2 linked regions of the Coturnix japonica genome follow. The main gene of each other region encodes a partner of the protein of the gene in region 2 in a complex. Links are inferred from orthologs where the notes say so. Each region holds a gene or a part of one and is shown on either strand. Other genes may lie near its edges.

What was found. Proteins that work in one complex are often made in the same cells at the same time.
Region 1: the proteins of BCL2L1 (region 2) and TPT1 are in contact, whole or in part, in a crystal structure (PDB 4Z9V), measured with the Homo sapiens proteins. The link is inferred for Coturnix japonica from reciprocal best matches to the Homo sapiens genes BCL2L1 and TPT1. Residues at the interface, in NP_001304848.1 of Homo sapiens: Ala93, Glu96, Phe97, Arg100, Tyr101, Ala104, Phe105, Leu108, Gln111, Ser122, Gln125, Val126, Glu129, Leu130, Asp133, Asn136, Gly138, Arg139, Val141, Ala142, Phe146, Leu194, Tyr195, Ala199, Ala200, Ser203; in NP_003286.1 of Homo sapiens: Phe14, Asp16, Ile17, Lys19, Ile20, Arg21, Ile23, Ala24, Asp25, Gly26, Leu27, Cys28, Leu29.

The regions. Positions count from the first base shown.
Region 1 is NC_029516.1:150,168,595-150,172,732, forward strand, and holds the start of TPT1 (translationally-controlled tumor protein), read right to left. Parts: upstream 2,803-4,138; 5' UTR 2,654-2,802; coding exon 2,626-2,653; intron 2,392-2,625; coding exon 2,318-2,391; intron 2,142-2,317; coding exon 1,951-2,141; intron 1,133-1,950; coding exon 1,027-1,132; intron 619-1,026; coding exon 502-618; intron 1-501. UniProt on the Homo sapiens protein: Involved in calcium binding and microtubule stabilization. Acts as a negative regulator of TSC22D1-mediated apoptosis, via interaction with and destabilization of TSC22D1 protein.
Region 2 is NC_029535.1:9,026,019-9,029,234, reverse strand, and holds the end of BCL2L1 (bcl-2-like protein 1), read right to left. Parts: intron 974-3,216; coding exon 836-973; 3' UTR 504-835; downstream 1-503. UniProt on the Homo sapiens protein: Potent inhibitor of cell death. Inhibits activation of caspases. Appears to regulate cell death by blocking the voltage-dependent anion channel (VDAC) by binding to it and preventing the release of the caspase activator, CYC1, from the mitochondrial membrane.

The DNA of each region.
Region 1 (4,138 bases), on a different chromosome or scaffold from region 2:
GGCTCAGACAGCTGGAACTTCCAGACAGAAAAAGGTTAAGTACATAAGGAAGGTGCTGCCATGTTCCCATATTTAGGGCAGTATTTAGTTACACAAGAACTGCCTATTTAAATAAAGGCAGATTAAGTGAAAGAGAGAAATACAGTGAAGTACAGCACTCCAGAGTTAGTTATCCCATACAAGTGGGTCCTGAACTAGATGGAATACATTTCATAGTCTAAACCATTACCATTTAACACACACTTCACTGAGGCAATTCCTTCTGCATTACTCATCCATTACATCACTATGAATCACTGCAGTGAAGCCACATCCCCTTTTAGTATGACTCAATAGCCCAACGGAAGCCCCAGCCACTTTACATAACACAAAGCAGCAATCAGACTGTGCAAACACAGTTTTTAGACTGGCATTCAACTTATTAACAGAGGTAGATTAATGCAGGGAAAGAGCTACTGATGTTTTTAAGTACATTCACCCCAGTTCAATGTTGGTACTTACACATTTCTCAATCTCTAAGCCATCCTTAAAGAAGATCATATAGGGGGTCACACCATCCTCACGGAAATCCAGGAGAGCCACCATCCCATCTGGATTCATGTTCTCTCCTACAAAGAACTTCAAGGAAATGCGTTACTGAGACACTCAGTGAGCTACTACCACCAAGCAGCACATATTATACGTGAAATCTATACAGGTTCCCTCAACAGCTGAAGGAATCTTAGTACGCAGCATTACCACACTACTGTCAGCAGTCAAATAAGACACAGTAGGGGGCAAAACAATTCACCTTTAACATCTGTAACCACAGCTCCTTTCAGCTACATTTGCAGTTATCACGGTACCTCAAGCTTGTAATGAGCTCCCCAGACACCTGCAAGTCTTTCTAGTATTTCTTCTCCCTGACTATCAAGGCTCCAAATAAACTCAATGAGGGTCATTTTTACAGTAGGAGCTCTCTAACCACAAGCAGAAACAATCTCAGCCCGTATTACCGAAACAACGCTATAAAGAAACACAACCAACCTGGTAGTTTTTAAAGTTGGCAAGGATGTGTTTGATTTGTTCTGCAGCCCCTGTCATAAAAGGCTTTACTCTCTCCGGCTTGTGTTCCTCAAGTCTGGCTTTGATTCTAGGAATAAAAAGCAAGTTTTGAGAACACGTTCCACACTACACACAGTGCAGCAGCATCATAGTAGGGAGCTACCAGCAGCCACAGCTGGATTGTGTTGCATTCCCCATCCCCAACCCCTCCACGAATGCTGGTGAATTAACAGAATGGGGCCTACCCCTCAGTTTCATTTTACTTCTAGGTTTGTGCTAGGCAAAAATTAGCAAGCCATTTATACAGCAACAAGAGTACCCTCCATCAGCATCACAAGAACCGTTCTCACCTTTAACACTAGCCCACTTTGAGCAAAGGAATCCATCCTTTGGAAGCAAATCTGCTCTCAGAATCATAGAACACGTTGGGTCAGAAGGGACCACAAAGCCCACCCAGTTCCAAACCCTGCAGTGGGCAGGGCTCATGGATCAGGCCACCCAGGGCCCCGTCCAACCTGACCTTGAGCACCTCAGCCAAGATAAGCACAGATATCCCCACAGCAATGCTTTAAAGCTTCAGGCTGGACATTAGGAAGCATTACTTTTCGGAAAGAGTAGTCAGGCATTGGAATGCACTGCCCAGGGAGGTGGTGGAGTCACCAACCATGGGAGTGTTCAAGGAATGTTTGGATGTTGTGCTGAGGAATATGATTTAGCCAGGAAGTATTGGTAATGGTTGGACTAGATGATCTTCTAGGTCTTTTCCAACCTTGATAATTCTGTGATTCTGTAGATCTGCCAAAGATTCAGACATCACTGAGTTTCACAGCTAGTCTGGCAACTCTAAGTGCTGGCAACACTAGGAACAAAAGCAACCTTATATGGGAGCAGCCCACCAGTACTTACGCTTTCATGTAGTCCTTGATGTACTTCTTGTATGACTCCTTTGTGAAGCTGGTTTCCTGGAGGTGGTGGTTTATCACTATATCCACACCAGTTATCACCGTGGCTTCTGTCCCATCTCCCTCAGGACCTTCAGCAGAGGCATTGCCACCAATTAGAGAGTCATCAATTTGACCCTCTGTCCTGGTGACCATCTAGATTTAGAGACATCAAAAAACTTCAAGGCTGTGCGCACACCTCGCTTCTCTTACACACCTACGTGTCGGCAGGGCACTACCTCAGAGCCACGCTCCCCGAGCTCGGCTCTACCCCACCCTCTCCCCTTCTCCCACCCTGCCCCGCCGCCTCGACTCGTGCGGCTCACACTCACCTTCCCCTCCACTTCCAGGCACAGGCCGTTCGCCACCTCGCGGATCTTGTAGATGTCCGAGAACATCTCGTCCTCTGCAGGGACACGCACACACAGGCGCCCAACGCCTCGTCAGCCTCCGCCATCCCGAGCCCGGCCCCCCCGCAGCTCCGCCGCATTCCCTCCCCCTCCATCCACCCCTCCTCCCCGCATGGCACATGCGCAGCCCCGCCGGGCTCCGTGCCCGGCCCAGGCCTCAGCCCTCAGCCCTCCGCCCGCCTCCCTCCGTCCCATATCGCAGCCCCCCAACCCCCCTCGGCCGCTCTTACGGCTGATGCAGTCCCGGTAGATGATCATGGTGACGGTGCGGGGCGGCGGGGGGAGCGGCGGCTCGGCTCACTGCTCTGCGACCCGAGAGCGGGCGGGAGCGAGGCGGAAAGGGCCGAGTCAGCGCCGGGCGGAGCTCATATAGCGGGCGGGACCACCGCGTCACCGAGCGCACATGCGCCCTTCCAGCACTACGCCTCTGCCGCCTTCACAGCGACACCGAGCGGCCGGTGGGCGCCCTCAGAGCATGGAGTCGGTGTGTGAGGGGCGGAGCTGTGCCCTTGTTTGTACCACACCGCTGTAAGGGGTGCATTGAGCTCCATCAGGAGAGGGGTGGTCAGCAGGGATAGGGAGGTGATTGTCCCTCTCTACTCGGCTCTTGTGAGGCCCCATCTGTTGTACTGTGTCCAGGTGTGGAGCCCTCAGTACAAAAAAGACATGGAGATTTTGGAAAGGGTCCAGAGGAGGGACAGGAAGATGATCAGGGGGCTGGAGCACCTCCCCTATGAGGACAGGCTGAGGGAGTTGGGTTTGTTCAGCCTAGAGAAGAGAAGGTTGCGGGGTGACCTCATTGCAGCCTTTCAGTACCTGAAGGGAACCTACACCCAGGAGGGGAGTAAGCTCTTTGAAAGGGCTGACAATAGCAGGACACGGGGAAATGGTTTTAAGTTAAAAGAGGGAAGATTTAGGTTGGATGTTAGGGGGAAGTTCTTCACTAGGAGAGTGGTTAGGCCCTGGAACAGGCTGCCCAGGGAGGTTGTGGATGCCCCGTCCTTGGAGGTGTTCAAGACCAGGTTGGATGGGGCCCTGGGCAACCTGATCTAGTAAATGTGTATGTTTGGTGGCCCTGCTAGGCAGGGGGGTTGGAACTACATGATCCTTGAGGTCCCTTCCAACCCGGGTCATTCTGTGATTCTGTGATTCTGAGCTGACCCCTAAGCTAAAGAAGCAGAATCATTCATCTGACTTGTTTAAATGCACCTGTTTACCATGCACCATGCTGGAGTGCGTGAGTGGTGATGTTATCTGTGCAGTGCTGCTTATATCTCTCTGGAGCGCTGACTCCAGCTTTGGCAGTGCGCTTTAAATAGGTGTGGACTAGTTGGCAAGAGCTCCACAGAGCAGGATAATGATGAGAGCTCTGAAAAGCGCAGCCTCCAGGTAGTTCTTCTTATAAAACAAGGCGTCAGTACAGAATCACAGAATCACAGAATGACCTGGGTTGGAAGGGACCTCAAGGATCATGTAGTTCCAACCCCCCTGCCTGGCAGGGCCACCAAACATGCACATTTACTAGATCAGGTTGCCCAGGGCCCCGTCCAACCTGGCCTTGAACACCTCCAAGGACGGGGCATCCACAACCTCCCTGGGCAGCCTGTTCCAGGACCTAACCACTCTCCTAGTGAAGAACTTCCCCCTAACATCCAACCTAAATCTTCCCTCTTTTAACTTAAAACCATTTCCCCATGTCCTGCTATTGTCAGCCCTTTCGAAGAGTTTACTCCCCTCCTGGGA
Region 2 (3,216 bases):
CTGTCTGTGTGTCTGCGGGATGGGGAAGTGCTCCTTAACTCCCCTGCCTCCATCCCGGCCCCAATCCAACAGCAAAGCAGGGTCCTGGCGTGGGTTGTGTGGGGAGGGACGGACATGGGGCACAAAGGAGGACATGCAGTGTCACACAGCAATCTGAGCAGAGGGAGGGGGACGAGGAAGAGGGGGGTTATGAGGAGGAGGTACAGCCCTGTGCCTGCTGGAGGTGCAGGGGACAGAGACTCTGGGGCTGCAGGGCAAGTTTGGGGCTACTCACCATCAGCTTTCACCCAGGTGCTTTCTGCCTCACTGCAGTGCCAGGCGAGCAGGGGACAATCAAGAGACGTGGCAGGGATGGCAAAGCTCAGCCCTGTCCCCATGGCAGCCAGGCTGCTGCAGCAGGGCAGGGCTGGTAGCGGGAGCCCTGCTTGAGGCTGGAGCCCAGATCCTTGCTCTGCCTGGGGAACTTTATATTAGTGACACATCTACACACACGCACGCACTCACACATGCAAAAATAAGTCTGTTTATTCTTTTTCAAAGTGATCTAAAGGATCCTGCAGGGCTGGGACACCTTCTAGCCACTATTCATCCCACCCGCCGGGATCTGCCCAGCGCTGGGAGCTGTTGGCTGAAGTGCTGCATTGCTCTGAGCGCCTTTAAAACACAACGGAACGGTAAATGAGAGGGGCTACAAGAAAAGGAGCTGGAGGAGCGAGGAAGGAAGCTCCGTGGAGCTGGGTGAGTGCCCCGTGATGGTGATGGTGCTCGGGAGCTGCGTAGTGGATGTGATGGTGAAGGCGCAGCCATCCTGGTGCCAGGGGGACACAACCATGGATCACTTGCGGCTCAGCAGGGATCCCAGCAGAAGAACTCCGGCCACGGTCGCCCCGGTCAGGAGCCATTTGTTGAAGGTCTCCTGGCCCTTCCTCAGCTCGGCAGCAGCATTATTCCCATACAGGTCCACAAAGCGCTCCTGCAGGCAGAAGAGAGCGGTGAGAAGGGGGGAGGTGAGAGGCTGCAGTGCCAGCAATGAGCAGCAGGGTGAGAACAGCCTGGAGAACAGCCTGCCCTCAATCCCACACCTCACAGGGCTCCCTCCCTTCTGCTGCCCATTTTCCCCAACCCCAGTGGAGGTTGTGGTGGCTTCGGGCTCTCCTTTTTCTCTGTAGAAAAGGCCGAGTTATTCTGGGAAGCAGAGAATCACAGAATGGTCACAGACAGCTCATCCAGTTCCAACCCCCTGCCATGGGTTGGTTGCCCCCTCCCCAGCTCAGGCTGCCCAGGGCCCCATCCTCCAACCATGGGGCACACGCAGGTCTCTGGGCAGCAGTGCCAGGTCCTCACTGCCCTGATGGTGGAAGGAGCAGAAAGGCTGCCAGGCTCCCACAGGCAGGAAAGCACCGGTGGGGACAGAGCGGATGACAGACGCCGTGTGCTTCCTTGCTCTGAATGATGCACGCAGGGCAGGGGGGGAAGCACAGGACTGGCCATAAGAGAAGTCGATGCCAGGAAAGATTTGCAAGGAGAACACCACAGAGCTCTAAAATTAGCATTGAAGCGTGATCATTGCAGGAGAAAAACTGAGCCAGTGTCAGGCTGCATTGCTGCTGAGGCTGCAGCCCATAGTCCCAGTGCAAGCATCACTGTGTCCAGGGCATCACGATGTCTCTGCTCCCCTGTCCTGCCTGGGTCACCTTGCAACACTCTGCATTTTGCACTTGGGTTCTGCAAGTTGCTGCTGCAAAGCTGGACAAGAAGCCCTGCCTTCCCCCAGGCTGTGGGAGCGTGGCCAAGCACCAGCCCAGGAATGCAGCTGCTCCAGCCTGGCCCAGCCAAGCCAGCCTCTCCAGCTCTGCATCCCCAGCCACAGCCAGAACCGGGCAGATGTCACCGTGCAGCAACGTGCTGCTGCCCCTCACCACTCATCCTGCAAAGCCAAGAGGAAGCAGAATACCCAGAACCTGGATATCCCCCTGCAAGACCAGGGATGAGTGCAGGGCCCTGCAACAGTGACAAGGCAGGGAGCTTCACTGCCCTGGTTTATCAGAGCTGAGCAGGAGCCTGCAGGCAGCCCTCTTGCCTTGGGACCTCCCGCAGCTCAGCCAGGGGCTGGCAGGGCTGTACCTTGAGCCATCTTCCCAGCAAGGTCCCTGCTCCCTGATAAGTGAATGCAGTTCCAGTAAGCAGCTGCTCTGGAAAAACAGAGATAAGCCTGGCTGGTTCTGTGCTGCTGTCACGCCTCACCATAGCGTTCCAAGGTTGGGACAACATTCCTGCCTGGTCTTTCACCTTGCCACATGTGTGCATTGCACAGCAAGCTCTTGCACATCAAAGTGCTGCACTGTAAGGCATGCAGCTTGTCTTGTTTCCCCTGCTTGGCCACACAGCTCTCCCACCCAGCAGCCCACAGCCACCAGTTCATGCAAGTGCTGCCCAAAGCAGCTGCTCCCAGCTCTGCTCAGCAGTGTCAGGAGGAAGGCTGTGGAAACAGACAGCGATGGATGGGAGGATGGGAGCCTAAACACAGGGCAGCAAACACAGCATTGCCCAGAACAGCCCCACCAGCCCCACTGCACAGGGGCCCCCTGCTCCATTCACACAAAGCACTGAATGCTGCAGCTGCTCTCAGGTCAGAGGAAAGATGCTGTGCACATCAAGGTATTTCCCCTATAAAAACAAGTCTTATTGCTCAGGTGTTCCTTAAGGCTGGTCCCACTGAGCCAAGCACCAAGTGCTTCCATCCCTGCTCCTCAGGGTCTTCCTGGGGCACAGAGATGTCCCCAATGTACCCAGTGAGGCCACAGAGGTACCGGGGCCATGCAGATGGTGGCACCTCTGAGCCAGAGCCTCCTATAAGGGTGGGAGAAAAAGAGGCACAGGGAGAGGCCCCCAGGGCAGAGGGGACAGGACGGCATCTCATCATCTCATCGCTCAGTGCTCCCTTTTCTTTGGTACATGCCTCTCAGCTTGGGGAAAGGCAATTCCAAGAAGCACGTTTTGGAGAGCCTGTTTCTAAGAAAAGGAAGTGTTTGCTAAAGAAGAGATAAATGCATATGGTGAACTATCGGGTGCCACAGGAGGAGGAGAGAGGGATAGGAGCTGAGTGTGGCAGGGGGTGGGGGGAGGGTAGAACCCTTCTCCTTCCCCTGGGAACAAGCATGGGGCAGGGGGCCTGGGGACCTGTCCTACCATGGAGCACAGCTGTGATCCCAGATG